Linked DNA regions of Schizosaccharomyces pombe. The protein of the gene in region 1 interacts with the protein of each later gene in a biochemical or structural test. Each region holds a gene or a part of one and is shown in the gene's direction. Other genes may lie near its edges.

Region 1 (4,782 bases):
GGTAGTAGTTTTTATTTGCAATGAGTCGATGCTTTCGGATTGGAAACACGTCGACAAACGCTTGACGAAACATCTTGATAGTAACGACTATATAGTTTCTAATACGTTCAATTGCTTTATCTCTCAACTTATCTACAAGTTTTTTCTGGTCTTTGTTAATTTGGAGAGAATTGAACATGTTACCAAGAGATGAATCATCCTCTCCGCCTTCCAAAAACGAAGTTAGTTTTTCTAATGCAGAATTCCAACTGGGATGATCCATGTCTCCTGTAGATATGGTTTTTATAAGATCAGGTGGAAGAATCGCACCATCAATCTCTGCTCCAAGTGCTGACTCCACTGCCTTCAAATTGTTTAAATTTACTTGAATTTTGTTTGAGCGCTCACTGACTTTGTAGATATCACTAGTAGCGACATCCAGATCCACCTGGAATCGCTCCAAAGAGCTCAGAACATCATTCAACACTGACTTGAGAGAATCAAGTTTGTTTAGATCATCACCACTTCCATCATAAACATCCTGGGTAGAAGCTCTCTGCATGCCGGACTTATTATACTGTACCTATAGATGTTATATCTCAACGTGACAGCTGCATCCCAGAACAAATGGAAGGTATAATCCTGCAAATAGTTAGTTTGGTAAGTTAAGGAGGGTTAAGTTTAATTTAGGTGTTGTTTATCACCCTGGTTTCGGCGCTTCCATCAGTGTTAAGCCTGAACAATTTAATGTAATCTAACGATACGTCAAATAATTATGATGAGTTACTTTACGAATTTTAACGTTGCAAAGGTATACTTCAAATAACATGTATTACGTTTTACTTCACTGCACTTAGTTTGGTTGCTTTAGGGTAGGGTTAAAGCAATCTCACATGGAAAAAGTAGTCACATTTAACAAATGGGAAAGTGATGGGCATGTTCATACAGAAAGAGCATAAACCAACAATGGCAGAAGAAGAACACGTCGATTTCGAGGGTGGTGAGGCCGGTGCCTCTTTGACCTTCCCTATGCAATGCTCTGCTTTGCGTAAGAACGGACACGTCGTCATCAAGGGCCGTCCTTGCAAGATCGTCGACATGTCCACCTCTAAGACTGGTAAGCACGGACATGCCAAGGTCCACATTGTTGCCCTTGATATCTTCAATGGTCGCAAGTACGAAGATATGTCTCCCTCTACTCATAACATGGACGTTCCTGTTGTCAAGCGTGACGAATACCAACTAGTCAACATTGATGATGGCTACTTGAACCTCATGACTACCGATGGTACTACCAAGGACGATGTTCGTCTTCCCGAAGGCGAACTCGGCAACGAAATTGAAGAGGGCTTTGAAGAGGGTAAGGATTTAATCATTACCGTTGTCTCTGCCATGGGTGAAGAGATTGCTCTCGCTTGCCGTGATGCTCCCAGCGCCTAAATATAAACCCTCTTCCCTTTAAAAATGGTCGTTTAGTAAACAAGTTTTGCTCCTCCTTTACCATATTCATTGTTTGTTTAACGATTTTTGTAAATAGAATGTTCTTTGGAATCTGTAAACGTAAGACTTCTTATATATCTGATAGTTTTAAGATAAATTAGATTATGGTTATATATTCGTACTACGGGTATGTATCAAACTGCTTGATGGCTGTTATTTTCTCTTTTAAATGTATCAGTAGCACCTTTTCTTCAGCCTATTTTAACTTTCCTCAATTTTTATCCTAGTTTCAACCTTTATGTCTCAAGGTTGGATACCCGAGGTAATATATAATCTAGAGTGGACTTGCAGTTTTTATATAATGGCTTTTCACAATAGTTAATCAATGTATGCACTATCTACCAAGCCGTTACAACTCATATGTATTAACGTGGCGCCCGTTAGATCTCAAAAACTGCCTATCGCTACTGACTGACTAACAGTCTACTGTGATACATTTGTGAAGGATTTATCCAAAACTATATAAACGGTATTTCGCAGCTGAAAGAAAATCTGTTAGGTTTTTTCAGTCGATTCATACTTTCCAAAATATTGGTAAAATGCTGGCATAGCAGTTTATAAATAACAACACCGTTAGAAACTGTGCAGATCTTTTTACAAATGCTTACCTACTTGAATACCCTTTAAGTGTTTTGTTCTCTTATTTTTCTTCGTCTATAGTTCACTGTTTGTACTTTTAAATAAGTCTGCATCTATTTGCATATCCAGTTCCTTTACAATGGAAGGCAATTGGTTTGAAGGTCCGCCTTGTTCTGTAAGAAACTGCAAAAGTACTTGGTATTTTAAAAATGCAGGTCAAACATTTTGTCGTCGTGGTCATGCTCAACATGTAAGTTGTTTTTAATAGGTTTGCGCTTTAATGAATGTTCATTAATAAAATTGTTAAATTTTAGGGAATTGAAATCGCTCAAGATGATGAACCTGGTGCAGGGACTTTTTATCAAACTCGTAAAAGAAAGGTTGTTCGCAACCATCTAGACACTGGAGATGAAGATGAGATTGTTTATGGTACCGCTGGTAGAAGCTTATATCTTCAGGCTTTTCAAATTATTCTTCAACTTCAATGTCAAGCGTTAACTACGAAACTCGGATTTGACCAAAGAATAGAAGGCATGATACGTGACCTTTGGGCGCTTTACCTTTCCCTGTCTTATGAATCATTTACTTCTAGTTTTCTTTCCCTCAACCAAAATTCAACGCAATCAGAATCATCAGATTCGGATTTTGATCTCATAGATCCTGAGAGTCAACCGGGAGCTGATCCGAGCTCAAGAAAAACGAAGGAAACTTCTCAGTCGCATTCTATATCTTATCCTCGGCTTTTATACTCTTCTGCCTTTATTTATGTCGCCTGTCTTTTACTAAGACTGCCTCTGACCATTCATAAACTCGAAGTTTTAATAAGGAAAAATATTATTCCATATTATAGAGCGTATAAACAGATACCTCTAAAAATATTTAAAAGGCTTCAAAAAAACTATGTAAGGATGCTAATTCCTTTTCATTATCCAACGTATCAACGCATACAATCCGCTGTCTTGACATTGGTTGACGTTTTAGTATCTAAATACGAACTAAAAGTTCCTCCACCTAATGAGCCATTGATACTTTTTGAGCTTATTAACAGTTTCTTTTTTCCCTTAGAAATCTTCATACCTGCTTCTCGTTTACTAAATCTCGTTCACTCGCAGATTTCACTTCAAGGTACCTCTAGCGATAATTATCAAAGCAAAATACGCAGTGCTCAATCGATACATGAAAAGTTATCTGATGCGGAGGTTATGTTACTCGCTACCATCTTAGTAGCAGCAAATGTATGTTATGGGTTTGATGATGCCCAAACTCGAAATTCCAAATACAAAGACTCGATGTTCACTGTTAAAACCAACTGGAACATGTGGTTATCCCAAGTGCAAAAAATTAATGAGAAAGAAAAAGACAAGTTCTACGAGATAGACGAGCAATCCATTTTGACGCTCAATAACTCTGAAATGGATAAATATTTTCAATGGTATGAAAAAGAGTTTGTCGAAGAAAACAACCCAAATAATATTCCAGAAGGAATTCTTAACGTATTTCCGATTCTTTCGAAAGACAGCCATTTACAAGAAAATCAACCTACAGATATACTCACCGACGAATCCGTCATTGCTGAAGATGTAAAGTTAGAACAAGTGTTCAAACCTGTAGGCATTAAAGAGTCTGATAAAATGGACTTTTCACGACGAAAGGATGCTTATATATCAATGCTTCCTTTTTCACCTAATACAGAAAATACAGCTCATCGGGTTACTATCATGGTAGCCAAATTGTATAATATCAAATTGGATTCTCTTATAGCGGCCATTCGTTATGTTGAGTCATGTTTAAAAACCGGTATACACAATCAAGATTAAATAAATAAATAAAATAATAGTGCCATCTATTTTTTGTCCTTACTATCATCAAGCAAATCCCAAAAATAATTAGAATAAAAATATGGGCTATACTTGTTGCTGATTTGTACCGTTTGCAAATCGTTTTCGGTATCTAGGAAAGTGTGAGTAGATTCGAAAAACAGTTTTAAAGTTCAATTTTAAAGCTTGAATTTTTCATATCATCAAGCTTTTTAAAGATAAAAAATTGAAAGGTAAATTCAAATTATGAGCAAATGACATACGTATTATAACCCTTTTATTCCCAGTGTTCTCAGCAGTTTCTAAATCGAAGCCTAAAGAATGATAAAAGTTCAGCTTTAACATATTCGCATTTTCCTCTGACTGACATATGTCTTCAGAAGTATTTTCGCGTTCCTCAAGTTGTAGTAGCTGTTCCTTCATTTTCTGCAATTGAGATTCTAAACTCATAATTTCGTTCTCAGTGATATTCAACAACTTGGCTATCCTAAATTTCTCCTTTTCCCTGCTTAAAATCTCCTCAGCGTGTTGTGATGACTCTGCTGTTTGTTTTAATGACTCCATAGCCTGGGTAGATATTTCTAATTTTCTTGAAAGCACTATTCACAGTTAATGCATGGTCGTTTATTTCTAGATTAAAACTAACCTTTAAATTTGGTTTGAGATCCTTCCAATTCTTTTTCTCTGAAGCTCTGTATCTGTGCGCGAATGTCTTGAATGTTTGAGATGGTTTTCACATCTGGTGCAATTTGAAAACCAGCAAGCGTGGACCGCATAAGTTCAATTGGACTGTCTGACATATTTACTTCTCTTTTATTTATGTTCTTTTGTGTTTAAAAAGTAATTTCTTTGAAAACTTTCAACGTGGTCGTAACGTACGAAAAGGTACGAATGATGCTACCGTAAA
Region 2 (4,494 bases), on another chromosome or scaffold:
AAGTCATCTTCCCAATAAGCTGCAAGTTTACGAAAGATTGCAGGATCAGTCACGGTGCTACCCAATTCTGCATCAAGCAATGGGACCAAAACATCTTGTACCTTGGGCCAAAACCCATCCAAAGAAATGATTTCAGAAGCTTCACTCACCTGAAGAGCGTCCAAAGCAGACTTTAAAGCATCCACATGCATGGGTAACTTGGGATTGTTGATAGCTAAAGTGGGAATATCATGGGATGCGAGCCATTGAGGCCATTCACTCATCGAGGAGGGAGGTTCAGGAAGATTTTTCTTGGCATATGCAAACCAAGCCTCAGTAACCTTTTCACGAGCTTCTGAATGGGATTTGTTAGTACCTTGCTGCTTTTTATATTCTTCAAATAAATATTGTTGACGAGCTCTAAGGATAATTTTGTCATCTATATCAGTAACGTTTTGTACAAATGTAATGTTATATCCAAAATAAGATTGTAAGATTCTTCGAAGGATATCAGTTGTCACATAATTACGAGCATGCCCCATATGACTAGCATCATATACCGTAGGTCCACAGCAGTACCATGTTAAGTTGGAACCATTTGAAACAAAAGGCACCTTGCTATGAGTTAAGGTGTTGTATACATAGAGCTCCGTTCTTTGTCCTTTAGGAACACCCCAATGCGATTGAGCGGGATTTCTAGTCGACATTAGATTTTTATTAAAAAAGCGACTAGAACTATTGAAACAACGAGCCACGAGTTTAAAAATCGTGATTTTGATTATTTTGTCGTTGAGTTGGGTAAAAATTTGGCAGGATAACCTGAATTAAGATAACGGAGTATTTGATGCGCAATTTTACAGGTTATTGTTAGTACTTGAACTAAGCAAGCAAAAACATTTTGCAAACAAAAAATAAAAACAAAATTTCAATACCTAATTATATTTTTCCTCATATTAAACTAGTAAAGTAGCCAATAGATTTATTTCATCTTTTTTTTTTTTTTTTTTTGACGATATTATTGCAAATAAGTTGTTGGTTTCCATCTCAGCATACCAATTGATATGCTTTGAAAATGTCTTATCCGTATTAATCTTAGTTTTGTTGAATCGAAAATATTTAAACAACTCTGGTGTCCTCATATGTTTCTGCCTTCATTACAGATCTTCTATAGTTTTTGCATTAAAGCCATTTAATTGAATGACATTGTCAAGTTATTGATATTAGATAAAAATTTGAATTTTACATTTCAAAAAGTAAATATCATGTTATCTTATTTCTTTCTGTAAAGGATACTTTAAATTACTAACAAAGAAACTTTGAAATCATATTTTAGAACAATTTATTAATATGCATCAGGAGGTTATTATAACAAAGAATGACATTTATCTCAAAAGACTAACAATGGTTTATCGTCTCTTGGATACCGTTTAAAACAAATACTTCTTTTATAGTTTAAGAAAACCCTTATAAAGACTTGAGGGATTAATGATTTGTTTTTGTTTTCTTTAATTAAAAAAAAAAAAAAAAAAAAAAAAAAAAACTCAGATCGATTTATATTTTCTTTCTGCAATTTCACATTTTATTAATTGAATGATAAAATAACAAGTAGCGATGGAATACTATATTCGTGAAACGCTAATTACAGATTTTCAGGATGTTAAGACTTTAAAAAATAAAAGAAAATGCTTCAGTTTCTTTTTTGAACTTAGATTATTTTCCCCTCAATGTTTGTTTATAGTATATTTTTTTTATTTACTACACGTGAGAATAAACACCTCTCCTTTGTTTATAAAAACTACGACACGACCAACAGCGTTAATCCATATAACAAAATACAGTGAAGCGTTAGCGTCGAGACTGCTGAAAGGGCATATGACGCAGCTCTCACTCCGTACCATCCTTCCACCTGCGCACACAAAAAATTTACATCGCCAGCAACCAACTACTTGGTTAGATAGCTAGTGCCTTTGTTCAAATTTTATACCAAAGCTTGATTCAGCTTTTCTAGACTAAATGCGGTACTTTATTTTGCACTTCCTATACTCATTTTCGTCTATATCTCGTTCGTATTGCGTTTGAAGGACTTTTTTTTGTAAACGAGAAATTTATACATAGAAGCTAATAAGAAAGTTGTAAAAACGTATTTTATAAATAAAAAATCGCGCATTTCTTTACTATTCAGCCATCGCCGCGGTTTCACAACACTCAGAAACCCTAACCCTGAAAGATCGGGTATATATAAATAAGTGCAGCAGCCGTCACCTGCAGGCTTTCCATTAGGGGTGGGATAACGCAATTCTACGAGTAGCGTAAAATAATAATTGATTTACTGCAATGGATTTCGCTTTACCCACCACGGCCTCGCAAGCGAGTGCCTTTATGAATAACTCTTCTTTAACGTTCCCTGTTCTCCCCAATGCCAATAACGAGGCTACAAATGAGACGGCAGATTCCGGGGATGCAGAAGTTTCAAAAAATGAAGGTGTATCTGGCATTGTTCCAACCCTTCAAAATATTGTTGCTACTGTAAACTTAGAGTAAGTCGTGCCTCTTTGGATAGGGAACAAGGCGTATTGCCGTCGCGGTGAGTTCATCGGAAATCTTTTGTATAGACATGGCGTTTGGGTAAGAGCGATTGTTAATGGTTATTTGATTTTTGTTTTGTTTATATTTAACTACCATGTCACGAGATTTCCGAAGGCAATGACCGCAGGGGATGATACGTCTCGTTAACAAAATTTTCCATTGAGTTAGCAAATTAGACCTTATTACTAATAATCCTCTTAAAATAGCTGTCGTCTTGATCTCAAAACTATTGCGCTACATGCACGTAATGCAGAATACAACCCAAAAGTACGTTAAACCCTTTTAATTTTGTTTGAGGTCTGTTATTGACCAAACATAGCGTTTTGCCGCTGTTATTATGCGTATCCGTGAACCCAAGTCTACTGCATTGATTTTCGCGTCTGGTAAAATGGTTGTTTTGGGTGGCAAATCCGAGGATGACTCCAAGCTCGCGTCTAGAAAGTATGCGCGTATCATCCAAAAACTCGGTTTTAATGCCAAGTTCACGGATTTTAAGATTCAGAACATTGTAGGAAGTTGCGATGTTAAATTTCCAATTCGTTTGGAAGGTTTGGCTTACTCCCACGGTACTTTCTCATCTGTAAGTTCATCATCTTTAAAGATGTTGTTGCTGTTAAAAGACGAATAAGTATCTAACTGTTCTTTTTTAGTATGAGCCTGAGTTGTTTCCCGGTTTGATTTATCGCATGGTAAAACCAAAAGTTGTTCTATTGATTTTTGTTTCTGGTAAAATTGTTTTAACTGGTGCGAAAGTCCGTGAGGAAATTTACCAAGCTTTTGAAGCCATTTATCCAGTATTGTCTGAATTTCGAAAACATTAAGGCATGTCAACAGTTATCACACAGTTTTGTGTCAATGTTCATGGGTATTGTTGGGTAAAAGACCTTAGTCGGGGTCAGGTTATTTTTTGATCTTTAACATTAAACCCTTAAAAAGCTTTCCGGAGAATCCCCTTCACTGTAAGTCATCATTTATGAGTATTTTTATATGATGCAGATGATAGAGACATCCTTTGAAAAGTTTTTTCTTCAAAATCAGAAACTGATCTGTGAGTTTCTTCTTTTACGGCGCAACACAGCTTTATTCAAGAAAACTATAGAGGCTGAAATTGCGTATCTTATTTGAAAACCTGCAGTTGATGAATGTGTGCTCTTAAAAGTGCGTGCAAGTGTCTTCGCGATACTACTTGTTTTCCTCTGTGTTTATCATTAAACATTAGTTGAGCATTGCTTCATTAAATCTTCTAGCTTCAGGACTGGTGGCCAAATCGGTACAATGTTCTGTATAGCTTTGTATAATTCATTTTTTCATGATCGTGTAATAATAATAATAATCTTTTAAAAATTGAAATAATTTGGTTTTAGTCTGAAGAGCGTATATCGACAGTTCTTAAAAAGTATTGATTCCATTCGAAAATTAGACGATTATGATACTATGGAGTTTAAAGGAACTGAGTATCTGCTGTTCCTGTAAAATACTTTAAGTTCTTAATAGCGCTAATAGAAGGAAATGCGTAAACATGAACACTAATACGGTAATCGAATAACGACGAGCCTGTGGCACCTAAAAAAAGAGTAATAAAATGAGTTTGTATAGCAAGCAGAAGCAGCCAACATCTAACTAAGTCGCGATTTGCAATATAATCGCTTTTTACATATAAAAAAAAACCAAATGTTGTCTGAACTTCCTGAAGTGATATTTAAAGGGACTGAGTTTGAAGAGCAATTGTCGAATTTAACATCGGACAGCCAGGCGAATAAAAGAGTTTATGAAGATTATGATTTTAAGGATGAAACATCAGCAAAACCAATTCCCACAGAAAAAAAATTAAAAGTATTTAAAAAGGATGATAATGTGGAGACATTACTATCTGCTTTAGAAATTCAAAATGAGAAATCGAAGCAACAAGTCGAGTATTCCTTTATCCCA
Region 3 (5,063 bases), on another chromosome or scaffold:
TTTAAAGAAAATCCCGATATGTCATTTGTTGTCGCTAAGGTCCCTATTTCTGCTAATCCCAAAGCCTTAAGTTTTGCCCTTACTTATGCTAAGAAAAATTTGAAGGATAAAAGTATTTACTTGTTAGCATCTGACGATACTAAAGTTGCTCATGCATGTCTTGTTTCACCTGAGGCCATGAAGAAGTTAACTCCACAGGAGTGGTCTCAAAAAGTTTGTCACAGTATTGGCGGTCGCAGTGGAGGAAAAGGTGATACTTGCCAAGGTGTAGGTGATAAACCTCTTTCCATCGACGTTGCAGTGGAGGAAGCGATTGAGTTTTTTCAAGGGAAGTTGACGATTTAAGTTTCTACGTTATTTTGTACTCTATCTTTCATTATCTTCTACATAGGCTCAACTTTTTGTTTGTTTTATAGTCCGAGCATTTTAAAATTGCTCAACAATTTCAATCATTATACATAAACTCATCGTAGGCTTAAACGTCGAGTGTTTACTCAATGAACACTTCTTAATTTTAAGCGATAGTTTGAAAATTACAATTTCCCAGCCGCGTGTTATTGTATTATTAAGATTATGTGTAAAGCCTGAAGATCACGATTTCCTATTATTTACTGCTAGTCTGTCACGCTAATACAGCATACTTATATGTACAAGTCTGAACAAACCTACCACTGACTTCAAGAGTGAAAGGATAGGTTTATTGCAGTTCATATGAAATCGGGATTCTAAGCAAAAGCTTATGTCTATTCGAATACATACTAATAACCAAACTATTACAAAAATTTTTGCATGAATATCTATTACTATTACAGGCCATTTCTACACCATTCCTTGAGAAAAGAAAGTAGCCATCTTTATTATATTAATAAAAAAAAATAGAAGAATAAATGTCTTTAGTATGTTATGAGAGTTCGAGCTCCGGAGAAGACGATGACGAGACAATATCTGATAATCCCCGAATGTTAAAAGTCCCTAAGCTCCAAGAATCATTTCACGAACTTTATAAGAGTAAGAAGGTTTTAATGTTTTGATAACTCATATTCTTAGAAAAGCCAAAAACTTTTGATAGTCCTGAGTTTCATGAGGGTCGAATTCGTGGACAAAAGCATATTGAAGGATTGTGGTTTGTTCAAACATATTTGGAGGGTAATAAATCAATTTTTATTTAACAAAAAGTTGACAATTATCAATAGTGGATTTGAGCAAGAAAGTTAAAAAAGGCATTCGTGAGTTTTTGAATTCACAAAGTCGGTTTCAATCGCTTCTTTGCTCTGAGCATAATGTACCAAGAAGATTACATTTAAGCATATCTGAAAACTACCGCATAAATTATTCCACTAAGAACCAATTAGTGCACAAATGGGAACAATATACAAACAATTTGAATTACAGGTATACTCAGGACAAATAATCCATACTGTTGAGACTGACATATTAAAAAAGAACTTTAAAATTTCGACTGGGAAAGATGTGTCTACTATTTAATGACGAAAAAACAAGAATGTTCCTAGCTTTCGAATGTAAATTCAGTGACGAAAACTACAAAGACTTAATAAGTCATGCTAGTGACTGTATGAAAGAGTTTACAAATAGGAATTTGAGAGAGGTAAGTAAAGGTTCAAATAAGCGACAATTTTAACGCCTTCCAGGACTTTTTACTTCACATATCCTTTGCTTCATCGTTGACAAATGAAGACGAATATCAAAATTGGGTCAGTCAAGACAGAGAGTCCCATTTTTTTAAAACGATGAATGAAATTATTAATACAAAGATTCAAAAAGATCAATTTTCTGAAAGTTTTATCGTTGATAGCTTAAAGTTGTCAATTGGACATCTAATATTTACCTTTCCATTTTGTAAATAATTTATTAATTGGGGCGATAATAATATTATTACAATACTCGTTTACGAAAGAATATGCTCAGCTTCAAATCAATTGGTCTTAGGAACACAAAAAGTGATCATTAGCAATTGCATTCAGTTTTGTTACAAAGCATGCGGACTAAAACGTATGAAGGAAGAATAATTTCAAAAAAATTCCTTATTAGAAGCTTTAGTATACTCATTTTCGTCTTCTGTGATCGGATTTTGATTGCAACGTTTATCAGTTTTTTGTTACATTTCTTCTCACTAGAAAACAATATCATAACTATATTTTCACTTGTTTGGTTTATAAACTTAAGCCATATAGCGCATTAACTTGTTTATATTGCTATATTGCTTGTAACGGAGCTTAAAACACTTTGTTAATTTTCACTAAGCACTCTCTTTGCACTTGCATACACAAGACCTGCCCTTCACCAGCTAGCTTGCTAAACAAATTTTTTGGGTTCCGTTTCATATAAAGGATTTTGCATTAACATAGAGGGAGCACTCTAAGAAAAAAAAACGTGAAAGCTGAAAGGTGCTACTTACAATGAACCAGACTGAAGCGGCTCCAGTCGTCTCAGTTTCCCGGGTTTGTACGTATTGTGAAGTTCAAATTTATAAAAAAAGGATAACAAATGACTAATTAGATTTAGATGCTCATGTTAATGAGGAGATGCCCCGTGAATACTGGGACTACGAGAACATGCAGGAGGTATTTGGATATCAGGACAATTATGAAATTATTCGGAAAGTAGGAAGAGGAAAATATAGTGAAGTTTTCGAAGGATTAAATGTCTTGAACAACAGCAAATGCATCATCAAAGTCCTAAAGCCTGTAAAGTACAAGAAAATCAAGCGTGAAATAAAGATTCTACAGAACTTGGCCGGAGGTCCTAACATTATCTCACTGCTTGACATTGTCCGCGATCCAGAGGTAAGAATAAAAAAAAAAAGCTTTTTGTATTGAATCGTCTTGAAACTTGAAGGAGAAGAAATTTTGTGCTTTTCCGTCTATTGAGTTTATACGACTCTGGCTTTTGAACGTTTGATATCCATCAAACTATTGTATTTGTCGATACTAATATTTTATAGAGTAAAACACCATCTTTAATTTTTGAATTTGTTGACAATATTGATTTCCGTACATTGTACCCTACTCTTTCTGATTATGATATTCGTTATTACTCTTACGAGTTGCTAAAAGCTTTGGATTTCTGTCATTCTCGTGGTATAATGCATCGTGACGTTAAGCCTCATAATGTTATGATCGATCACAAAAAAAGGAAGTTACGGCTAATTGATTGGGGTCTGGCCGAGTTTTATCATGCTGGCATGGAATACAATGTTCGTGTAGCCAGTAGATACTTTAAGGGTCCAGAACTGTTAGTAGATTTTCGAGAATATGGTAAGTTGCATCCACTTTTGTTAAATATATTTACGTTTCTTTTTTCCTAACCAAACTTTAGATTACTCCTTGGATATTTGGTCGTTTGGTGTCATGTTTGCTGCTTTGATATTTAAAAAAGATACTTTTTTCCGTGGGCGGGACAATTATGATCAGCTAGTTAAAATTGCCAAAGTTCTGGGAACTGATGAACTTTTCGCTTACGTACAAAAATACCAGATTGTGCTGGACCGACAATACGATAATATTCTTGGTCAGTATCCCAAGCGGGACTGGTATTCTTTTGTCAACCGTGACAACAGATCGCTTGCCAATGATGAAGCAATCGATCTGTTAAATCGTTTATTACGTTATGATCATCAAGTAAGTTACCGAACCTGAAGGTTTTTACAGGATCTTATACAATCACTTATTTTTTTAAGTGGTATATACTGTATAGTTACTAACTTAGCATAGGAGCGTTTAACTTGTCAAGAAGCTATGGCCCATCCGTACTTTCAAGTACTCAAATAAGAACTGAGGGAAGGGACTATAACTCAATTATCTCTACGGACAGCCTTTTCATTACTAGTTCCCTTCATTTTCATAAAAATGAACCAAATCCAATTCTAGTTTTAATTCTGGTTCATGTTTTATTATTCTTTTCTTATTATTAGACTTGAGTATTCCTCTTCATTTACGTCGGTGATAATTTAAGCTAATATTTCTTGCCCAAACGTTATCATCTCCCACACGATTCCTCGAAACGGTTCTTGCATAAGTACATCCTACTATAATATTGCTTTCACGTGGCGGAGCCTTCCCACTACTTTTTCCCCGTACCTACTCGTTAGACACTTGGTCTACATAGTGTCTGTGTCTATTGCTTTCCCTTACTCAAATTAGAGTTTTTTTTATTTTTAAATGCTATCGGGCTTACTAAACAGGTTCCAATTCTATAGTTTTCTTTAATACTTTAAACGAGTTTTTACCTCTTTAGGTACCTAACAGCTTTATTAATAGTAAGTAACTCTGCGTATTATGCATAATGAATGCAATCTAAAGAAGCGATGGAAATGAATATGCGATATTTCATGAATGAAAAGTAAAGCCTTAATTAGAGAGCAACCTTACAAAACCTCTTATTCTGTAGCGTTAATCTTGCGCAGCTGCTCATCCTGAACTTGTTGAAGTTCAATGCTCAAAACAATTGCCTTTTGTAAATTCATTTTACTGTATTTAACACATATTAGAATTCATCATATTAAAAAAAATGATAATGTCATAAACTAGGGATGAACTTACAGGAATTCGCATTTATTCAACACTGATTCCAAATGAAACAGTATTTGCTTTTGAACCTCAGTCAGCATGCCAAAATTTGCACCAAAATCTAATTCAAAAGAATGTGTTGTGATCTTTGAATTCGGAAAAAACAACTTTACTTATCTTACTTGGTAAAGTATATTGTTTAACCAGGCAAATTTGTTAAAAAAGGAGTAGTTTACCTCTCGCTTTATGCGTATTTATGGTAAAACAAGTATAAAACACTATAACGCGGTAGCTCAATCTCTCGCTTTTAGAAAATACTTTACGCTACGATCCAAATAAATGGGTTAACTTGTGTATCGTCTACCAAAACAACACCTAAAACAGCGTGTTTTATCATTGCATTGCAACTAAGGTGAGTTTCTTTCTTCCTCTCTTGCTTTTTCATCCTTGAATGTAAATAAAATTCAATCAAGCTGAATATAAATTTAATAACAGACCACATTTGTGTACTACGTTTGTTAGTATCTCCAACATGTT

Evidence for each region.
Region 2: the proteins of rrn7 (region 1) and tbp1 form a complex in vitro, tested with the Schizosaccharomyces pombe proteins (one study listed by BioGRID).
Region 3: the proteins of rrn7 (region 1) and cka1 form a complex in vitro, tested with the Schizosaccharomyces pombe proteins (one study listed by BioGRID).

The regions. Positions count from the first base shown.
Region 1 is NC_003423.3:2,755,398-2,760,179, reverse strand, and holds rrn7 (RNA polymerase I general transcription initiation factor subunit Rrn7), read left to right. Parts: upstream 1-1,896; 5' UTR 1,897-2,197; coding exon 2,198-2,308; exon of another isoform or gene 2,309-2,372; coding exon 2,373-3,875; 3' UTR 3,876-3,901; downstream 3,902-4,782. Other genes in the region: GARP complex subunit Vps52, read right to left, coding at 1-541; tif512 (putative translation elongation factor eIF5A), read left to right, coding at 946-1,419; protein Spc24, read right to left, coding at 3,902-4,008, 4,139-4,474, 4,522-4,675. UniProt on the Schizosaccharomyces pombe protein: Component of RNA polymerase I core factor complex (CF) that acts as a sua7/TFIIB-like factor and plays a key role in multiple steps during transcription initiation such as pre-initiation complex (PIC) assembly and postpolymerase recruitment events in polymerase I (Pol I) transcription.
Region 2 is NC_003424.3:4,413,234-4,417,727, forward strand, and holds tbp1 (TATA-binding protein (TBP)), read left to right. Parts: upstream 1-2,245; 5' UTR 2,246-2,313; coding exon 2,314-2,516; exon of another isoform or gene 2,517-2,771; coding exon 2,772-2,832; exon of another isoform or gene 2,833-2,884; coding exon 2,885-3,145; exon of another isoform or gene 3,146-3,215; coding exon 3,216-3,386; 3' UTR 3,387-3,918; downstream 3,919-4,494. Other genes in the region: SPOM_SPAC29E6.06C (cysteine--tRNA(Cys) ligase Crs1), read right to left, coding at 1-686; SPOM_SPAC29E6.07 (uncharacterized protein), read left to right, coding at 1,591-1,941; SPOM_SPAC29E6.09 (uncharacterized protein), read left to right, coding at 4,237-4,494. UniProt on the Schizosaccharomyces pombe protein: General transcription factor that functions at the core of the DNA-binding multiprotein factor TFIID.
Region 3 is NC_003424.3:2,149,737-2,154,799, forward strand, and holds cka1 (serine/threonine protein kinase Cka1), read left to right. Parts: upstream 1-2,300; 5' UTR 2,301-2,417; coding exon 2,418-2,463; exon of another isoform or gene 2,464-2,523; coding exon 2,524-2,804; exon of another isoform or gene 2,805-2,807; intron 2,808-2,962; coding exon 2,963-3,275; intron 3,276-3,336; coding exon 3,337-3,638; intron 3,639-3,731; coding exon 3,732-3,788; 3' UTR 3,789-4,487; downstream 4,488-5,063. Other genes in the region: alanine--tRNA (Ala) ligase Ala1, read left to right, coding at 1-345; 3'-5'-RNA exonuclease Mpn1, read left to right, coding at 888-1,008, 1,048-1,146, 1,194-1,392, 1,444-1,606, 1,650-1,865; hcn1 (anaphase-promoting complex TPR lobe accessory factor subunit Hcn1/Apc12), read left to right, coding at 5,059-5,063. UniProt on the Schizosaccharomyces pombe protein: Catalytic subunit of a constitutively active serine/threonine-protein kinase complex that phosphorylates a large number of substrates containing acidic residues C-terminal to the phosphorylated serine or threonine.